Schizosaccharomyces pombe: one gene and its partner. The gene in region 2 interacts genetically with the main gene of each other region. Each region holds a gene or a part of one and is shown on either strand. Other genes may lie near its edges.

Region 1 (11,116 bases), on a different chromosome or scaffold from region 2:
TAGCTGTGGTACCAAATTTGGATATAAACATATGCTGCAACGACACCTGGAGCGCGGCACTTGTAAAAAAGCTCATAAACCATACATTAATGAATGTGGAATCAAACATGATGGAATAGAGGGGGTCGCAATTCACGACCAAAAAGAGAAAGAATTGAGTTCAAACTTAGTATCTGACGTGGCTAAAAAAATAATCAACGAAGTTACCGGGCATGGATATAAAGAAGCCCGAGAATACAGCTGTTCCTTTCCAGAATGCAATTACCGGTTCAAACGGCTATATGATATGCATAGACACCTTAATTCCCATCACTGAACGACGATCCTTACTTCAATTTATTCTAAAACGGAAAAGTTTAGCATAAATGTGACAAAGCCATGTTTTAGCTTCTCTTCATAATAAATTTATAAGCAACCTCTATCTTTTTTTTTGCTTTTGGTTTAGTCAATCTTTGATGTCAATACATTCTTTTAAAATATAAGAGACTCATACCTTTGAATCGTCGAATTGAATAATATAAAATTTTTTAATGCAGATTTAGAAATGCAACCTTTCATGCTTCAAATATTTTTGAATACAGGGGTTCTCTCACATTTCAAATTAAGGGTTGTTAATAAAATCTTGTAATTACAGTTAAGTAATCAATTCATATTATAAATCGTGAAGGATTTTGTCAATTGTATTCCAATATCGGAGCCGATTGACATATAGCAGAGCACTATCCCAATTTGAAGACTCCATTGCTTTCCGTATTTCATTAATTTCCTGAACTTTTCTACCCTGATTTTCTTGACTTAGCTGTAGGAGTTTCTCTGGCGAATCCCTTGAAGCGGAAATGTTTTCATGTACATCCATGATTTCCATCAAAAATTCAGGGTCACTGTTAGAAATATCTTCAGAAACTGGGTTAATTCCTTGAAGCTGGAGAATATATTCCGCTCGAGTCAATGGAGCTTTTAAGGTGTTATAAGCTTTCGATAATTCTGCAGAATCTCTTTGAGCTAAGGCAGCGTCTTTTCCCTGAGCAACATCAGGATGTAATGTTTTCATTTTTCTTAAATAGCTTGACTTTAATGCTCCCAAATCAATATCAAACGGACCTTTAGGAGGCGGATCCGAGATATCTCCTTCAAATTGTTTGTAAAAGTTTTTAGCCTCTGACTGGCATGATGAACTATGAAAATGATTATAATTAACAATTTTATTTAAAGGATAAAATTTGAAGCGAGCAAAAATCCAATGATTTCCAGTAATTTGTCGATTGAATAAACTCTTCTGTGCAAAAGAAATAAAGGGCCTAAAGCTCTGGTTTCCAGCTTGCTTTAACATTTATGATACAAAAAAAAAAGAAATTATGCAAATCCAAAGTGAATAATTAGAATTTCAAGTAGTTGAAAAAAAAAGGTATCAAGAGTTGACTTGTAACTGCTGTTGTTATTGCCAAATTTCAATAACTGCCACAACTCTTTAAATGTCATCTCAAACTTCAATATTACATAAGGAAATATAATCATTCAAAGTTAACATCAATTGTTTTTCGAAATCATCTCTTAAGAACAGTGAGATTAGTTCGGACATCTTACTAAAAAGCAGAGACCCTGGAAACCTCTGTTCCAAGCTAAATATTCCTAAAACCAAGGCAGTTCGGTGAATTTAACGTCTACATTTGAAAAATTTAAGGAAATTCTACCAATCTTTGTATTTTCAGTTTTTTTTCCTTTTTTTTTTTTTAAATATCAAATTTTGATATATCAATACATACTACAAAAGTATTATCTTTCAAAAAACTTATGAAAAACATTTTTAATATACTGCAAAAGGAATTACACATTTGGTTCTAATTGTTGTACTTTAGAGCAGCATGCCATTTTGTCAAGTGGTCGTTGGACCTCCGGGTTCTGGGAAATCAACTTACTGTTTCGGAATGTACCAATTATTATCTGCCATAGGAAGGAGTAGTATTATCGTCAATCTTGACCCAGCAAATGACTTTATCAAATACCCATGCGCAATTGATATTCGTAAAGTTCTCGATGTTGAGATGATCCAAAAAGACTATGATTTAGGACCAAATGGAGCACTTATTTATGCTATGGAAGCAATTGAATATCACGTTGAATGGTTGCTTAAGGAGCTAAAAAAGCATCGAGATTCATATGTGATATTTGATTGCCCTGGTCAAGTTGAGTTATTTACAAACCATAATTCCTTACAAAAAATAATCAAAACTTTGGAAAAGGAACTGGATTATAGACCTGTGTCCGTACAACTTGTAGATGCATATTGCTGCACGAATCCTTCTGCATATGTTAGTGCACTGCTTGTTTGCCTAAAGGGGATGCTTCAGCTGGACATGCCACATGTAAATATTTTGTCGAAGGCTGATTTGCTTTGTACGTATGGAACTTTACCAATGAAACTAGATTTTTTTACCGAAGTACAAGACCTTTCATATTTGGCGCCTTTGCTTGATAGAGATAAACGTCTTCAGCGCTATAGTGATTTAAACAAAGCTATTTGTGAACTTGTTGAAGATTTTAATCTTGTTTCTTTTGAAGTTGTTGCAGTAGAAAATAAAGCCAGTATGTTACGTGTTCTTCGAAAAATCGATCAAGCAGGTGGATATGCATATGGATCTACAGAAATTGGTGGTGATGCCGTTTGGGTGAATGCCGTTCGTCAAGGTGGAGACCCTCTTCAAGGTATTTCGCCTCAGGAAAGATGGATTGACAAGAAAGAGGAATATGACAAATATGAATGGGAATTAGAGCAAAAATCGACCATGGACGAAGATGAAAATGAAGGGTAATGACATTGAACTACTAAGGATTTGCAAATTGAATTATTTGAAAGTTGAAAGATTTTACTCAACCTTGCTTGTGTCATCTTCATCTTTTGCTACTGTGTTTTAGTTTTAAGACAATACTTTCAATCAACGGTAAACACACTTCGCAAAGTCCCATACAGTTAAATTTTGGTAAAAATTTAAAATATTGAGATAGCCTTTTTGTAAATCTCAAAAATTTAATGTATCACTTTTATAATAAACACTTTGTAAATTGCACCAAATAACATTTCTTTGGATTTAAGACTCTTTTCAAAGTAAGATAAATCTACAATGCATTTCGAAATGAAAAAGAAAAGCGGTCAACAGTACAGTAATTTACTCTTTCCCGGATGTTTTTTCCTTTCAATAATTAGTTACTTCGTAAAGTGATTGTCATACCTTTTTCTTTTTCTTTTTTTTGGATTTCTTTTTTTCAACGCGAATTGGCGATTTTGTTTCCAACACAATATCACCCATTGATCCTTGATTGGTAGAAAGTGGAGGGTCCAAAGAAATTAAGGAGTATACATTACTATTAGAAGGGTTTTCTTTGTTTTCAATATCAGCCAAACTTATTCCTTCGGGCACTTCGTCTTGGGCTACAACCATAGCTTGTAAACTAGGTGATGTAAAAATCTTTCTCCGTCTCTTATTTTTTGTAACTAAAATTATTAGCAAAAACAATATAATCAATAGCATTAACAAACCTTTTGTCACTTTATCAGCATTGAAAGCCTCATCTGACATCGACGTTTCAACATTTAAATTTTCAGGTTCTGAATTAGTAGTCGTAGTGTGCTGATTCGAAGAAAGGTAGAAAGGACTGCTCAAATCACGCTGTACAGGAACAGACTCTAAACTATTGAATTGCTTTTTAGAGAACGTGTCTATGCCAGAGGAAGGTACTTCTGTATCAAAATTAATTAACGAATCATCACTTTGGATGATGTTTTCAAGTAGCTCTTTTGGTACTTCAATTACGCCATTTATTGGACAGTTTAAATCCAAATTTTCATCAGGCATAACTTTTCTTTGAGCTTTTACAGCGACAGGATTTAAAGGTTCGCCAAAAAATAGCTTATACATAGTGTTTTGTACGATATATGGAGGCTTCTTTTGTAACTCAAGAACTTCCATAGTATCAGAGGTGTTAACAATGTCACTGACTTGATTAAACAAAATGTAAAATTCTGAGGCTCTTCTCTGAATTTCCATATCCTGAAAATTTAGGAATTGTTCAATGAATGAAACAATCTTCTCAACCCATAACTTTACTAAGCCAAACTTTTCTACTCCCCAAGTTGGTTCCTCTTCAAGACACCATTGGCAGAATATTTTAGTTATCGCCTGTAAAAGTAAGCGATGGGCAAGATTTGAACATTTTTTAAACGAAGGACGAGTCAAGGCATCAAGTATATCAAGATATTCCTCAATAAATTCAGCATATTCACCGAGGCACCATATGATGGCAGGTAAAATGTCGGTACGCTTTTCAGATACAGAACAATCAGTAGTTGATACATAGGAAGGATCCAAAATGGCCTGGGAAAATATATCTACAGAAAATGGGCGCAAGGCTTTAACTCTGACACATAAATCAATGATTTGGTTATTTAGTAATGTGCCGGTGTCAATACCTGGAATGTTGGCTAAATCAACATAAACCGTCAAAAGCCATTCAAAATCCGCAATATTCATGTATGTTGATTTAGAAGTCATTTCGATTATACGCGTCGCAGTTGAGTTTCTAATATCTTCAACTGCTGATTCATCCGACGAAACGATTAATTGGAGCATTAAAGTTTTAACGATAGTACGGATATTTTCTTTGTTAACAATTTCGTTAACAAGGTCTAAAGCTCGCAAACGAATTGAAGTGTCAGTATCGACCAGACATTTAAGAATGATGTCCAATTGAGCAGAAACAAGGGAAGGATGCGTATTTGCAAGCTTACGAAGACAAAGAAGAGCGATGTATTTTAAATTCTGATCAGTGTCCTCAAAAAAGCCGCGTAATTTTGAAGCACAAAGGCTTGCCAATTTGTCGCATTGAGAGTGACCCACAAGCATATTACCGGAAACTATTGTGTTGATACACTCATATAAAAGTGACATCGCATGTGTATTCTCAATAATGTCTGTCAAAGAAGGAATCAATTTCTTCACCAATCGAGGTTCATATGGAGTCAAGGAAGCAAATAATTTGATAAGCTTTATGAGCATCCAATTATTTGAGGAAGTTGTAAGAAGATGGAAAAGATCAGGAGCAAACTCGAGGTAATTTTTAGGAGCTCTTCTCGCTAATTCACAAATTACACTGACAGCAGCATTTACAACGGAAGTGTCAGGGTCGTCTAATCGTTCACGTAATTTTGGAATGCAAGCTGAAATAGCTTCAGGATACTGCAAGCATAGTCGATATAGGAGTAAAATTGTACGTTTCCTTACGTACGGTACGGAATGATTTAAAAGAATCAATACGTCTCGGTATAAATCACGCGCAAGGCCTAATGTAGAGAAGTGTGAGAGACCGTCAATGGCCAGAGTAATTTCTGGAACTTTAGAGCTCATTAGATCCTAATAAAACCGTCAGCTTTGTAAATACTTACAGATTAAAAAAAAACATACCTTCTTAAGCAAATTAGTCGTTAACATTAAAACGTCTGTATCTGGTTTAAAAGACTGGACAGCAGCTAGATACCCTTTCTGCTTCTGAAGAATTTTAGATGAAGACATTACCTCAACGATTTGGAAACTGGCCCAGCTAATATCCACCCCTAACATTTCCAGCTACTTTTGTTAGTAACTTTATAAATAAAGTTGAACGAACATATGCAAGCTTTAAGATTGCTTCTGATTTAAGATCTGCATCCTGCGATGTCGCTTCTTTTCGACATTCTAGTAAACAAGTCGCAATAAATGCTTCCTCATCATTTGCATGAGATCTTATCCCTTTAATTAGGTCAATTAGTGTCCTTTCAAACACCATGACAATTTATAATTCAACAGTCAGTTAAATATATCCCAAAGCCGGCTTTATGCAGTTTGCTCTCTTAAGACTATATCGCAATGTATCCTTGACGAAAAGGAATTATCGAGCTGAAGCAGCAATCGTTAATTAGTTATATCGCGTAGCAGTGAATTAGCTAACGCAGTTGAGAAAAATAAATTGCAATGAGTTTTATTAATAATTATTGTAATTTGATATAAAGTATGTCTCCAAAGATAATCAGTGTTATTTTAATAGTAATAAACAATTTTGTTTAACTATAATTGAATATGATGCTAAAAGAACTTACGTTTCATAGTTCAAATAGTCCTGTTCATTTTTATTAAAAAAAAAAAGATAACTTAATAACAACGAGTGTATATTCGTAGCACAAACGTATGTTCATTCTATAGTTATAGTTATAAATTAACATCGCATTTAATAGCCCAGTAACATCGCTGATATCAATGAAAAACAAAGACAATATGTTTTAATCCAATACCCAGAATGAGAAATGCGACCTTTCTTGCTATATTAATTTCTAATATTTACATAGGTTTGTATTTAAAAAAGTGGTTATAATTAATACAACAGTACAATGTTAAATTAAGTATAAGTTTCCTGTAATTCGGACTCTAAGTGTTTGCACAATCTAACCAGTGAAAACCAACTAATGCTTCGTGCTTTGCTTTAATAACAGATGAATAATTGAACAGTATTGAGCGAAGGGGTACTTCAGGATTAACCATACATCACTGTCACCAATAAGTAGTACAGTATTGCCGTTTATTCTGTTTAAACCTGACCTATCAGCATCATTCTCTAAAATCAATTTTTTCATGTTCATGAATCCTCTGTGGTGAGCCGCTTTAAAGCCATTTTAAGACAATCTTTAATTTCTGCGGCATCAACTTGTTCTCCGCCGCTGCTAGCTTCAGTAGTGCGATTGATATTACCAACTAGCGGTACATCCAAACCTAGTTTGTCAAGCTGCTCATGTTTGGTCAATGAAAGATTTAAAATATGACCTTCAACAGTATCTTCCACAATGTAGTAGTAAACAAACGTCGGACGAGTTTGCCCAATTCGATGAACGCGTGAAATTGCTTGCATTTCAATTCCACTATTTAGTAATGGTTCACCTGTCAATGTTAAAACTTGTTAATACAGATATCGACGTACACATGAAAACGTGAGTGGCATTTGTTAACGTCAAACCAGATCTAATGAAGATTAGAACAAATAATTAAACAGTTTAAACATACGATTGCGATCTTGCATGTAAAGTAAGTACTTGTAAGCTACGTTCTTCTTTAAACCTTTTTAGGCAAGTGTTCTTTGACTTTCCATCAAAACGTATGAAGACGATACCATTCGCTTCAAATGACTTGTGCAAAACATCCAAAACATCAAGCCATTGAGAGAATACAACAACTTTAGGATAAAGTTCGTTATGTTTCAAATACTAAAGTTAGATCCACTCTAAATACAAATGTTGCTTACCAAAAGATGTTTAGATATTGTGTCAATTTTTGATCCAAATGACTCCTTTAACTCCATATTAGAAATTTGCCTGTATGCTTCATCGTCGAGAATTTCAAGCCTTTCGTCTCGTTTGTTGAAACCAGTGACAAACTCTTGACGAGAGTATATATCCCTACTTTCGCCAATATAGTAAGCATTATTTTTGTTCAATTTGGTTTTGCACATTGGACACGACGAACTATGCTTCAACCACGCTTCCAAACAAAAACTACAGTACAAATGGCCTAACAAGTTAACTAGATAAACGATCCAACAAATACTTACCACAAGTTGTTATAAAACCTTGCTTAATTATATCACGACAAATTATACAAATCTGATGAGATTCAGCTTTAAGGACAATATGTTCATATAGGTTTGTTAAATACCTTCTCCTTGATTCGAAGTGAGCAATTTTACGTTGGGTATTGCTTTTTTCCTCTTCTAGCTCTCGCAGCAGATGGATATGTCCAGGTATATTCATTTCGGATATTTTTTGATTGACGAGTTCTGCTACGTTTGTTGTTTGACTTGCTTCGTCCTGCTTTTCTGAAATTTCTTTTTCCAAAATCACCGAAGCTTTAATTATAACAGAGTTCAAAAATTTTTGTTTTTTTTCGTCGTCTTTAACGTAATTGTTTAAACTGATATTTGAAACGGGAGGAGGCATCAAAGAGTCAGAAATTTCCTGCAGCTGTTTATAGTACTCAATCCTTGAATTATAAGTCAACTGAATTATACTCAATTCTTTTTCCAATTTTTGGCAAATTCTAGATTGCTCCTTTGCCATTGCATCAATCCGTTCATATTCTTCCATGTTTTTAGAAGTTTCAAAACTTGAGGTGGATCTATTTGATGCATCTAACAGTCTTGAAACTATATTTATTAATGATCCGTATTGATCTGCTTTTGGCCTTGCTTCTTCCCTTTCCTCAAAGTAAAGCAAATATTTTTTATCACGTTCTTCAGCCTGCTTGTCTAACGATTTCTCCGATTTTTTTATACTCTCTATAAGTTTGTATTTCTCAAGTTCTGTTTCATGAGACACAAAGGTATTAATAGTACCGCTGACTGCCGCTACTCGATCTGAAAGCATTTGACGGTAAACATCAATACAATAGGATATCTCTGATTGCGCATTCAATGATTCTTCGTATTCATCGCCGGTCGGATCCGATTCTTGATCCAGAAGTGGAAGTTTCATCAAATGGATAAGCCGATCTCTAAATTTTATAAGCACCTCCTTTTGATCATTCAACTCTTTATAAAGTCTATTATAGTCTTCAATTATACCATGTCCGGTTATGAGACCTTTTGCGTAAGATTTCTGTAATCGTGGTATTTTGACAAGTTTCTTTGGAATAAATTTTTCTGAAAACTCTTCAAGGTGCTTGCTGGTTTTGATAATCACATCACTCATAATCTTCCTTCTTAAATCCTGCGCGAGCAAATAAAATTCATTTTCAAACTTTTCGTTTTTTAAAGAAAAATAAGCGCTTGCTATAAAAAAGTATATTTTATGCAATAGAACATACCAAACACGCAGATGAATGAAATGATCCAAACCAAAATAATTAATCGGTAAATTTTTACCATGGTCCTCATATTTAGAGTTGTAAATAACATTTTCTAATTCTTTGACAGCGAGCTCGACAGGTATTCTGACTTCAGACCAAATAGCCAATGCTTTATTATAGTCTTTAATATGATCATATATTTGACCAACAATAATCTTATCGGAATAAAGCTTCCTGTTTAACGAGGAGAATGTAGAGTTTGTTTGTTCCAACATAAAAACTAATACATCATTAATGCTTTTCATGGGTCCACCTCCAAATGCGGATTTGTTACCAAATCCAACCTGCGGATGGCAACATGCCTGTCGTAAACGAACCAACCAACGCCTCATAGATTCTTCGTCACACAAATCCAAATTTCTGTCTTTGAAAAAGTGCAAAGACTTGGCCGCCTCTGATAATAAATCCTGGTAGTTCGTTTCTTCTACTACACTAAGTCTTGTAGTCATGCAGATTCGATGTTGAGGAGGTAATTTTAATTCTTCTTCAACGTCCTGTTTAGAATGTCTGCATACAAGGGAGCCAAACAGATCGCAAAATTCACGAACACGTTTCTTCTCTATAATTTGCATCCAAGCTTGTTTTTTGTATAAATACATAGGGGAGTAGCGAAGAAGAAATAAAAGGCCAAAAAGGTCATCAACTTCACTACGTACGGGAGTTCCACTTACAGTCCAACAATTGACACGAGGTATGCGATAAATCATTTGTGCGACATTACTCTGTGAAGTTTCAACCATCTGAGCTTCATCAACACAAATTCTCCACCAACATACATCAATCAATGGAGACTTTGGAGAAACATGTCGCTTTTCATGTCTTAAGGTCCTGGAATGAGATTCAGTGTACAATAGCTCAAACCGTAAATCAGAATAAGATGTTACCACTATATCACAATCCAAAAAAATTTTAGCTGATTTCAAACCATTGGATTTTCGGATTCCTTGGTAATGGAATACTTTCAATGATGGCACATGCAAATCTATCTCAGATAACCATTGATCGAGAATTGTAGAAGGCGTAATTATTAGGGTGGCCTTGGAATACTTTACATTTTTTCCGACGACCTGATCGAAAGTACAAGTATCAGTCAAAGAAATTGGCAACTGATGATGCAAAACTAATCCTAAGACTTCCAAAGTTTTTCCCATGCCCATTTCATCGGCTAAAATGCCTCCACGTATATCACCGGACGCAAGCAAATATGTTTTTTCTTTCGAAAATGTCATATAGCCGTAAACATGATTAACGTAAACCATTCGATCATCAAAAAGACTTTTGCAATGGTACCATAGAGGTGGTAAATCATTTGAGGTTAGGAATTTCTCTTCTTCTCTTCGTTTCATCCATTCTAAAACACGCATTTGAAATGGTAAAAGTTCCGAAGAAAGCCTTGGATCGCGTGATACATTGGCGAAACGTAGGCTTTTTGCCAATTTTCTTGCACAATCGTAAAATAGTGCAGTGTTAATATCTAAACAAGAATATTCCTCATCTTCAGACGGAAGGAACGTATAGTCTAGTAAAGCAGTGTATGAGGAAGATGATCCAGATGAAAGAATCGCATCTTGAGGGGCAAGAAAAGAGTCGAGTATGGAAATGCCAAACGACAAAATTAACTCGGATCCTTTTACAGTAACATAAGATGTGTATTTTATAATTTTCTTCAGCCGCCTATTATCCTCCCAAAGCTTACTCCAAATTTTGAGAGGTGCTTTTAAAGCAGAGTAAGTATCCTTATTCAAGTCGACAGAAAACAAAGGAATCAAGTTTTTGGCCAATGAAATTTTTCTTTGAGTAAAACTATATGCATGTAGTTTCTCAGATCCATCAACCCAAAAAACGACAGGATAAATAGTAGACTTTAGCCGATTTAACTCGTCCTCTGGTCCACGCCATATCTGCTGGTCTAGCTTGAGTTGGTGCTGGAATGCACGGTAGCAATTGGCGAAATCACTTTCCAAAAGGTTGTTTCTTTCATTTAGTAAGGAAGCCTCCTTCTCTATTTTTCGCCTCTTAGTTCGGTCCATAATGTTCCCTCTCTTAATTAAATACAGTCGTGTTTTGAACCAATAGACTTAAAAATTTTAGAATGAATAGAATTCTTTAATGTACAAAGAAATAAACGAAAATATATAAACCCTCAAGAACACAAAAGGGTAGGCATTGTGTTATGTGCTTTTGTTCTTAGTTGTGGG
Region 2 (11,116 bases):
GTAAAACTGTTAAACAACGAAGTTTCAAAGCTAGGAAGGCAAGGTATGCTAAATTTTTCATAATTATAATGTTCTTCATTTCAAACCTATAATAGGGAGGTAGTGGTTACATCCTTTTATTATAAGAAATGCATTCTTTTAGCCGTCGTAGGAAACTACTAACTTTACAAAAGGTGATGTCGTCTCAGTGACAAGGGGATATTATCGAAATACACTTTTCCCCAAGAAGCAAGCGATTGCTGTTGATGCCTTAAAATCTATGAAAGCACATTTGTTACAAGGGTCCGAATTCTCGACGAAAACGAAGGAATAATAATACCTAAACTCTCACTTAGTTCAATCAACATAAAAAGAATTTATTGAGTTTATTAGTGGATTAATTAAGGCTTAGCTAGCTGCAATTTGAACAATTCTAGCTTTTCATTACGAGATATTGTTACATTACTAACAAGAATTACGAAGTATTCAGCATTGACTTTTTTCTATAAAAAAATATAAAAAATTTAATTAAAAGGCTTCACTAGAAGCGTAGTCTCTTTCTGAGTTTGAATATTATCGTTATTGTAATATTTTATCAGGGTTGATGCTTAGTGTTTCTCAATTACAATAACAAGCTTTGGATTTTCCTATAATAGTATAGTTAATATGAAATTTAAATCCTTGAATGGTAAACGTTTACTGCGTATTGTGCGGCCATCGTTTCTGCTCTATCAGCTCGTCTAGCATCTTCTTCTCACAGCTACCAACTATTTTGAGTTGGATCCAAAATCATCTCATAACTCGTGTTTATTATTGCTAAAGCAGCAGAGAAAATATTTTTCATTACCTTATTCAGCTTCAATGAAAATTAATTTGTTTTTTGTGTTTCTATTTGAACTTCTGCATTTCGTGGCAGCTTATAGTTGTGAAGGAGATGAATCAGCTGCCATTGAAGCTATGAATGTCTTACAGGTACCGTATGAAAAATACAACACAGACCCAGTTTGCGCTTTTGACAATTCCACCGTTGTCGAACTTTCAGATAAAACCTGGGATCATGTCATTGAATCTGGCAAATGGTTTGTGCAGTTGACTGCTGAAGGCTGTGCTAACTGTACTCTTGGAGAGCTACTTTTTAACGTAAGTAATGGACTGCATTTAATGTTGTCCAAATGCTCTTGTTATGAGATTGAATTTTGAGCCTCGGAAATAAATTAAACCATCTTTGGATTTAATTGAATCTGTACTAACTAATTTTAGGACCTTTCGCATGCTTTTCATGAAAAATATCCGGATGTCCACTTTGCCCGTGTTTACTTGAGCAGTAGCCTCGAACTTTCTGTACGCTTACTCATTTCTCGGATTCCTTCTTATTATTTCATCGATAATCAAAATTTCTACCGTGTTTCTCCTCAGGTTCTTCCCAAGAACAAGGCAATCGCCTTATATGAAAAAGACGGGTTCAAAAGTATGAAAAAAGAGCAAGGTTTTTTCTCTGTTAACGGGCCCTTGAAGTCCTTTTACTGGGTCTTTGGAAAGGCACTTGCACTTTACGGACACTTAAGTCAAAAATACACCCCTCTTGGAATGAATGTAGCTATTTTTGGGATCTCTGCCTACATAATGTATCGCTCTAGCAAAAAAGCGAAACAAAAACAAGCCGCTGCTGCTGCCGCCGCCGCTGCAAAAAAGAAATAAGCTATGTGGAAAATACTATTAGTTTTTGATAATATCAATTTTTTGAATAATTATACGAGAGTTTGTTACATGTTCTATATGTAAGGCACCGCTCTAGTAAAGGTTTATACCCTATTTGTTTCATTCCTTCCTTTTTTAACAGAACGTAGATTTTCCAACCTTATTGCTTGTTTGGAGATTCATTAGAGGAATCATCTTTTAGCTTAGAATAAACGGCAAAGTACTGCCCGTCTCTTTTCTTAGCATTCTGAAATACATTCCACGGCTCTTGATCGGGTAATGATGGTAGAGATTCCGCATTAATAGCATGATTCAAAGTACGAAATGGTTCCTTAATGAAGGATGTATCAAGTCTCTCAATTGCATGCATTTGAATGATTCCTTCGTTGAGTTTTAGAATTGTTCTTTCATTCTCTTCCTTAGAGTCTGCTTCACGAAGACCAACGAGCCTCAGCAAATGACCATACTCAGTTAAGCCAATTGGTTTGGGTGGATTTCCTTGGAGAATTCGTTTAAGTGAAACCTTTGAAGGTTTCAAAAATGGCATAGTGAAAAGGAAAATAGAGCTAATTACAAGAGAAAAATATAGTACAGGTTAAAAAAAAGATTCAATCTTAAACACTTTGTAAGTTTTTCAAATGCTTTGAAACAGCTGTCGAAGTTGTAGTCGGTTCCTACAATTTAACGACTAGGTTGTAAGTCTGGGTTTTTTTAGAATTAATAGTAAAGGAATATATTAAATCATTCGGTAAGTAAAGTCAATATAATCAGCTTCTCTAATTAGGAGAACTATTTTTCATTACTATGATAACCGTTTCCCATTCCCTAAATTTACGACATCCTGCGATGTCTGTATATAACTTTACATAGCAGTGTTCCAGTACGTAATATTGTTGAATGCTTGCGTAGAGTAACGACTTTATTAAAATTGGTTATTGCAATTGAATAAGGTAATATAAAATGCCACATTATTAGCACTTTAGGTGTCTACATGTTTCGCTATTTTTTAATGATGTATGAGAGTATTGTTTATACCCAAAATTGTAAGCGCATTTTCCATCCTTCTGCCTATTACAAGAATCGCGTAAATCATGAGAAAAATTTGGGAATTAAAAAAGAAAGAAGCTCAAAAAGAGAAAAATGCGTCAGGGATTAGTCCAGCACAAATCCGAATCCAAAAAGGTGCGACTCATCATGTTGATAACTTTTCGCGATTTACTCGAAACTAACCATTTTCGATGAATTTAGACGTTACAGATTTAGAAATCCCATCTACGATGTCTACAAGCTGGCCAGATCCTATAAAATTGAACGTGCTACATTTAGAAATCCGGCCTGACGAAGGTAAGTTTGTGATTCCGCATGAAAGAATATTTGGTGTAGACTTTTTGAGACTATTATTTTTTATTTTGATTAACATGAAAAGGGTATTACAAGGGTGGGAAATTTAAATTTCGAATCCAAATCGACGATAATTATCCTCATGATCCTCCTAAGGTTAAATGTCTAAACAAAGTATGTCAGTCATGCTCTAAATTAGAGTTGCAGCTTATGGTATATTTTTTGCATTTAAGAAAATAACCATTATAACATGTTTTGAACCCTTTCGTTCTGACCTACTGTTAGATCTATCACCCAAATATCGATATTGAGGGAAACGTATGCCTCAATATTCTGCGTCAGGATTGGAATCCAGTGTTGAATTTGAATTCTATTTTGGTTGGATTGCAATTTTTATTCTTGTCACCAAACGCAGAAGATCCACTCAACAAAGGTAGGTTAATTACAATTTTTTGGGGGGCAATGAACTATTTCTTGTTATTGCATTACAAGGAAATGATTATTCATCTCTTAACTATCATTTGATACTCATTTTTTCTACGATCCTTTATTATGGGATTTATAAGGTTCTTTACTGAGGACAATGATTATGATAAGCAATTTTAATATAAGAAATCTGGTTTGCTCCTTAACAAATTTTCTAGATTTATTTAACTATACTAACAAACGATATCTTTTAGAGGCGGCGGCTGATTTGCATAAAGACCCTCAAGGATTTGCATCTCGTGTGCGTACAGCCATGAAAGGTGGTCTTGTGAATGGAATTTCTTTTGACAATGTCATGGCTTAATTTTTCATCAATCTAAATCAATTCGATAAAGATAACCGACATAGATTAGACGACTGTCATGAAAATATTGATGTGTTTTAAATCTCGCTAAATCAGTCACGATTACGATGAACTTCCGATATCAGTATAAAAACACATAACCAGAACCAAACCCCCCTAATAAGCCCGTAACTGCTTTACAATGTTTCAAAGACGATCACTTCTCTCTGTTCGTTCGTCTGGTTCCCAAATCGCCTTTCGTCGATTTGTCAGCGTAAGTACAAGTTTGTTGATAGAGTATGCATTGTAAGTGCAACTGAACATACGATGGCAAATAATTAGACTATCATCTAATTCTGATTGTTTTCGAGAATTCTGTACTTTGCTCTTGTTTTTAGACAAGTATTGATGTTGAGAATGCTTCTTACTGACCCAACAAAATAAATCTTCATTTGTGCTTTCATACTGCCTCATACAGTACTAATTTTAATATTTCTTAAACTGCTTATTAACCAAGTTTAGCTTACCCACAAAGATCCAACTCCTGATACAACCAGTTGCAATATTATCAAGAAGGAAGGGGCGAATATTATATCAGTTTATGCACGCTATCCAGTCGTAGCTGCTAAAGGTGAGGGCTCCTATTTGTTTGACAAGGAAGGTCGTAAATACATTGACTTCACCTCTGGCGTAGCTGTTACATCTTTGGGTCATGCTCATCCTGAAGTTGCTAGACTTGCCGCTGATCAATGCTCCAAATTAGTCCATAGTAGCAACCTTTTCTACAACGAGCCTGCCATTGAGCTATCTAATGTCATTAATAATTCTTTGGCAAAAAATAGCGGTATTGCTGGCCCCACAAAAATTTTCTTTGCCAATTGTGGTACTGAGGCCAATGAGACAGCCTTGAAGTTCGCTCGTAAGGCAGCGTTTGAGAAGTATGGAGAAGGGAAGAGTCAAATTGTTTACTTTAATAACTCTTTCCACGGCCGTTCTTTGGGATCTCTTAGTATCACTGCGAACCCCAAATATAAACGTGGTTTCCAACCATTACTTCCTGATGTCGTCCAAGCCGTCTATAATGACCCTGCATCCATAGAGCAATTTGTCAATGACAAAACTGCGGCTGTTATTGTCGAGCCCGTTCAAGGTGAAGGTGGTATTTGTCCTGCCAAGCCTGAATTTTTGATTGCTTTGCGCAAGGCCTGTGATAAGGTTGGTGCTTCTTTAATCTATGATGAAATTCAATGCGGACTTGGTCGCAGCGGTGATCTTTGGGCCCATAGTATCGTTAAGGATGTCGCTAGTCCCGATATTATCACAGTTGCCAAACCTTTGGCTAATGGTCTACCTATCGGCGCCACCATTGTCTCCAGTAAGATCGCTGCTGAAATTCACCCTGGTGAACATGGCAGTACTTTCGGAGGTAATCCTGTTGCTTGCCGTGTAGGCACATTCTGTGTTAATGAATTAGGGTCATCCAAGATTCTACAAAACGTTAGAAAGCAACACAAGGCTCTTACTTCACGTTTTGATGACTTTGTTGCCAAATACCCTAATCTTATTCGTGGATATGCTGGTCGTGGTCTTCTTCTTGGTTTGCAATTTACCGAGCCCCCTGCTAAATTTATTGAGCTTGCTCGTCAACAAGGTCTTTTACTCTTACCAGGTGGAAACAACAACACCCGTGTCCTTCCTAGTTTGAATGTTAAAGATGAGGTTATTGCTAAGGGTTTGGATATCATGGAGAGCACTTTGAAGGCTTTAAGTAAGTAAAAGTGTATGTTTTCGTAGACTTGGTCATTGAATGGATTGGTTATATAGTGCGATAAAAAGTGATTATTACGAGAAATCTTGTTCCTCGAAAACATATATTAACCTTGCTCTCATTTGCCAACCAAAAAATTTTTTGATAGGGGGGTTACGAAAAGCTTAGCTGGAAGCTTTACATTGTAAATACTGGTTTTCGTTATTCCCTTTCTTTTCATAATCAATTTTGTTTACATTTTTTGTTAGAAAATTAGATATATATTGTTGTTTTTCATCTACTAAACTGAATTGTCGTAATATGTACCGTAAATACTCTGTCAAATGATAGTAATTCACAAAATCAATGTTTTTTTACTGCGTTTTCTATTACTAACTTTTAAAAAGTTATATAGCAAATAACATTCCATGTTTTCTTTTAGCATTAACTATTTTTTTCTTTGGCATACAATTATTATATCAACATGCTATTCATTCAATTCACATTAGAACGATATCGTTATAAGGAATTCTTAATCAATTTTTCGTTTCTATATTTTATCTTAATTTAAGGCGCACATCGATACTTTAGCAAAATACCACCATATTCAAAAATAAACAAAATTTTTTATCTTTCTAAAAAATATCATTTTTTTAAGTAAGTTTAATCATTTTATAATGATTGAACAATGAATATCATCTCATGCTTATTTTGAAGAATCGCATTTCGCGTAACTAAAAGCAAATTTCTTGGATACCCTCAGTACATTTCCAAAAATATTACTAAAGATGGTAGGGAGGGGATCTTTTTCATCTACCTCGAGCGCCTCATCCATTAATTGGATTCCAAAAAACACTAAAACTAGCATTGAAAGTGTTTCTAACACTATTTCGTTGTCGGAAAATGGGCAGAACCAAGACTTGGAGACTGTTACTACTAAGGAATCAAACGTTGGCGACTCTGACACGACTGAAAACATTAAAAGTCCGTTTAATGGACAATGGCCATTTAGCAGAAGATCTAGTCAAAGTAGCAGTCATCCGGTTTTTGAGGAAACACATTGGAGTAAGCATTCCAAGCGCCCAGGAAAGTTGAACGTTTTAACGCCTACTAGCCCTTCTAATGTTAATGCCGAAGTTCAAAGTATTTCTACGAAAACTCAATTATCGCTGCTTAACCTCTCTCCGCATAAGCATAAAAAGCCTAAAGATGGTTTAGATCTTTCTGCTTTGCAGAAAACGCTCAACGGGTCTCGAAATTTCTTAAGAGGAAGAAGAGACGCTGGGGGAATTTTTGGCGCTTCCATCCCACAATCACTTGTTACAAATCAAATAATCAATGGCTTCGGTGCAGCCTCTCTTGCATTTGCTAAATTGGGCAAAGTTCGCTCTCCTTTAGAAGGTCGCTTTAACCTGGTTCCCATATCCGCGGATGAAACTTGGCTTATTGTGGAATCCGAAGTTTGTAGTTTATATTCGGGTGAGGCTTTGCACTATTCTCTTGAAGATTTGAATGGAATTCTTATATTACATTTACAAGCTCTTATCCGTGATACGAAGATGAATGAGTTTGTTGGACACTTGGAGACACTATTCCGTAAGGCTACCAAGTGCCTTTCGGACAGTTTATCGCCTGTTCCAGAAGAATTATTTTTGAATCGTATCATAGAAACATGGCTGTTTTTCTTTTCTTCCGTATTGCCATACGTTCAAGGTGTGTTTTTACCTATAAAGACAAAATTGTTTGATGAACAAGAAAAAACACAATTACCCTATGAAGTAAATGAGTTTTGTTCCACAAATAGGGAAAAACTAAATGTCCATCGTCTTGCATTGATGACATTTCGCGATTATATGGTTTTGCCAATTGCAAATCGGATACAAATCTGTATTGGGCGTGCCGAATCTGCTGAAAATGCTTTAGATAATGCAGGAGAGGTGTTCGCTCGACTGTTTCAGATATTAAGTTTGTTGGCAAGTGTACGAACGAACGATTCCAAGGAACAAGAAATTACTAATTTGGCAACTAAAGTCAGATGCCTGTTGATAGCTTCCTAAATTCATTCTTAGATTTTTTATATTATTTTTCCTTTTTAAAATCGTTTCAGTTTTTTTTTTTACCTTCTTATTTTATAGGGTCCACACTTTTCAATATTTGCAAATTGTTCTAAAACTTAAAAAATTTGTGTCAATACTTGATATTCCCAGTCTTTTGTTTTCATCATTAGTTAACGATCAGCTTTTGTTTATGTCCACAATAAATATGTTTTTAAAACAAATATCAAAAATAAAATAGGTAATCTCGGGAATTACAAGTAATATGTATTTTAACTATTGATGTTTTCTAACCATTTAATAGCACAAGAGAAGGGTAAATAATCAATCGTACCAGTCGGATCGCATAGACATCTAGCTGTCGCATGCGACTGTACATCCGTAGGGCAATGGTACCAGGGTAAATGGTAATAACCAAAGTCCTCAAAGTAATGTATTTGCGATTTGTTCAGAAATAGCGATGCTGCCAGTGAATGTACGGGAGCATCCCCCCAGCGCTCGTAAAAAAATCCATAATTTTTATCTAAGTGCGCAAAGTAGTCTGTGTATGCAGGACTTCGAAAGAAATTTAAATTGGCAATTTCAAAATTACTCCAAAAATGGCAGAGATTGTAGTCACCACTTAACCCCTGGTGGTCATTAACGATAAAATCCAAGGAGTTATTTTGTGCAAGATATTGTGGGTTTTGGTGAATAAAATCTCGAGTAACGTTCCATAAAGAAGGGAGGGTTTCATAATAATCCGTCATTGATATGACAAACCCATACGCCTTATTCTCGTCACTCAACTTTCGAAAAGGATCACTTAAAGAATTGGTTAGTGACAAAATTCTATCATATTACAAAAACAAGAGTTAAATAGTCAATTTTTCTTGTGCACTTACTAAGGTATATCGCAAGAATATTCAACGCCGGGTTCAACGCGCCAGTAATAATCATAATGTGAAAGGGCTTTGTTTCGATAAAAAAATCCTGAATTGAAGCGACACATGATCCGATAACTCAGTGAAAATCCATATATTACTTTGTCATCGGTCATATCCCGAATTGATTTCAACATACGATTTAAATCGATGTTTATAGGAATTCCCCACTCTTCGTTGTTGAGTTGGACATAGGTAGCATCCCCACTCACCATTTTTGAAGTAGCTGTTATAAATTCTTTAGTAAAAGGGGCATCATTCATAAATGTCCATGGGTAATGATAGCGATGATTGAACCGATCCTCGACGCTTTGTATGGAAACAAGAGCGTCCTTAATGTCTCTATTACGGCAAAGCATAAACAAAGTAGCGTTCATATTGGGCTGCTTAGGAAAATAATCTGAATCTGTCAAGGATGACTCTCCTCTTTGCTTTGCTGTGGCTTTTTTTAGAAATACATACTTGACTTTTAGTTCCTTAGGCCCATCTTTAGAAGACTGTAAATAGAATGAAATAATGCAGAATAATAGTATACAAAAATAAATTGATGATTTGGGTATGCCCATGTTGAAGTCATGAATATGGCCCCCTTATATTAGGATTTCTTATTAAATCGCGGAAGTTTTTTTTTTATTGATTGTGAATGAACTTTATAACATGGTTCGATTGTGTAAGATACGCCAGTTTGCAATATTTTCGCAAGCAATCAATCTGATATGAAATAACTCGTTGGACTAAATCAACATTAGATTTGTAAACAATCAGTAACAATTTTGGTTTATAAACGATCATTTGGGAATGTTTTAAATTTCAGCTTTTGCTAATTCCAAACAAAGTCTTTAGAAAGATAGAGGGATTGTTTTTTAACTGGTTATGCAATATACAGCTCAAAACTGTTCCACTCTTTCACACTTTTTCTCTCTTACCTTCTAGTTAAGGATACCAGAACAACATATATTTAAAATTATTTTCCACAATTGGTAACTTCTAGGCAAAGGTAAACGATTCGAGATATACTGTAAACGTTGCTCGAAATGAAATAATCGTCAAAGGTTGGAATATCCATATTTGAACAAGTATGGTTGGTGTAGCGGATTGTCTTACTGTACGTTATTCGATAAACATTGAATAGCTTTTTTTTTTTAACTGAGGTTACGCAAAGAAACAATTTAATGGAAAGTAGTTCATTTTAAATACACTCAATTCTCGTTTCTTTTTAACAGCTCCGTCCATGGCAGATTAGCGCCTATAATAATGAATAACCCCAAATAATTTGCATAATTCTGAGAAAGTAGTTTTGCTAGCTAGTATCCTAGGTTCACTTTTTTAGTTTTTTTAGTACAATAATTTTGAAGCTTTACCAAAGATTCCACCATAACATAAACAAATATTTAAACTCAACCAGCTCGAAATTCAGTAACGCGCTCTACCATATTTTGGAATACATATGAACTCTCTTGACATTAATCTTGGGAATAGTAGTTCTTGAAAAGTCATAAACAGAGGATTTAGGTTTTCTTGGTGATTTCTATTAACTACCAGCTAAAATACTCGGCTCAAACTGTATGATGGCAAGTATATTATACTACACTCGCTTCGCAAATACCTTATGCTTGATAAAGTTTTACAAGCGATGAATGATTTTTTATTTTATTTTCTTTATTTTTATTTGTATTTTATATTCATTTAATATATGTATATATTATTAATTTATTTTACTTTGTCGTAGTCAATTTTTTTTTTATTTTACAGTGATTCATTGCTTCTATAATTTTTAAAACAATCCAGAATATTTAAATTATAGTGTCTAGATATAACAAATGAATTCGATATCTCACGAATTGATTGCTATTATATATACTTTGAAAATAGCAAGTGAACTTTTGTTTTTACGAGGAATTTTTCTTTACAATGTCTTTTTTTCCTTTTTTCCATTACTTTCAAAGTTTATTCAAAATCAATATTGTTTTACTAATACTGCAACAAGCAATGTATAGTAATCAGCAGTTACAAATATATCAAAAATTGTTATAATAATTCATGAGTGTGTAATTCAGTAATTAATTAAAATATTTGATATCCAATTGTTTATTTCGTAGTATTTAGAAATTCATTCGTAGTCGCAACACATCTAGTTCTTAAAAGATGTTTTTAAATTAAATATTTCGAAAGTTTAATTATTGGTTTACCAATGTTTTGTATTTGCATTTACGTTGTCTTAACGTACAATTAAAATTTAATTATTTTATGAATTTCATTTACCAATTGATTTTATACCGCAGCGAGGAAATAAATAATCGCTAAACCGTATATTGTAAAACTAAACAATTCGATATTAGAAAGATTACGCGATTTTTATCATTCGTTATTCAGTGATTATTAATGCGCGGCAGGCCTTGAAATATGTTTCTGCAAATTTAAACACTCGCTATCCATATTTTAGAATTAATTTTTCATTCATTCAATTGGCAATATATATTATACTACCAATTGATTTTTTTTTCATATATCCTAGTTTTGTTTCAACTGGGAAGAAATCCAAGTAGTGAATTCTTGGAAATTTAGTCGTTCATTTGAAACGTGTGCTTATTGACGAGGTATTGAA

Evidence for each region. Genes that interact genetically often act in the same process or in processes that back each other up.
Region 1: mutations in bit61 (region 2) and apl5 together harm fitness less than expected from each alone (positive genetic interaction), as found in Schizosaccharomyces pombe (one large-scale study listed by BioGRID).

What each region holds. Positions count from the first base shown.
Region 1 is NC_003424.3:4,659,088-4,670,203, reverse strand, and holds apl5 (AP-3 adaptor complex subunit Apl5), read right to left. Parts: upstream 5,871-11,116; 5' UTR 5,818-5,870; coding exon 5,659-5,817; exon of another isoform or gene 5,619-5,658; coding exon 5,457-5,618; exon of another isoform or gene 5,406-5,456; coding exon 3,536-5,405; intron 3,491-3,535; coding exon 3,228-3,490; intron 3,189-3,227; coding exon 3,165-3,188; 3' UTR 2,811-3,164; coding exon of another isoform or gene 1,863-2,810; 3' UTR 1,796-1,862; downstream 1-1,795. Other genes in the region: sfc2 (transcription factor TFIIIA), read left to right, coding at 1-316; DNAJ domain-containing protein Jac1, read right to left, coding at 653-1,330; GTPase Gpn2, read left to right, coding at 1,863-2,810; irc20 (ATP-dependent DNA helicase), read right to left, coding at 6,661-6,959, 7,000-7,040, 7,083-7,282, 7,321-7,586, 7,627-10,948. UniProt on the Schizosaccharomyces pombe protein: Part of the AP-3 complex, an adaptor-related complex which is not clathrin-associated. The complex is associated with the Golgi region as well as more peripheral structures.
Region 2 is NC_003421.2:1,607,771-1,618,886, reverse strand, and holds bit61 (Protor homolog, Bit61), read left to right. Parts: upstream 1-6,123; 5' UTR 6,124-6,322; coding exon 6,323-7,591; 3' UTR 7,592-7,840; downstream 7,841-11,116. Other genes in the region: SPOM_SPCC777.17C (mitochondrial ribosomal protein subunit L9), read left to right, coding at 1-43, 174-313; SPOM_SPCC777.12C (ER stress response thioredoxin family membrane disulfide oxidoreductase), read left to right, coding at 841-1,119, 1,240-1,677; protein Gta3, read right to left, coding at 1,838-2,224; NEDD8-conjugating enzyme Ubc12, read left to right, coding at 2,769-2,859, 2,926-3,021, 3,104-3,192, 3,304-3,451, 3,699-3,808; arg1 (acetylornithine aminotransferase), read left to right, coding at 3,990-4,061, 4,310-5,563; alpha-1,2-mannosyltransferase Omh3, read right to left, coding at 7,861-8,392, 8,473-9,077. UniProt on the Schizosaccharomyces pombe protein: Component of TORC2, which regulates multiple cellular processes to control cell growth in response to environmental signals. TORC2 is required for cell survival under various stress conditions.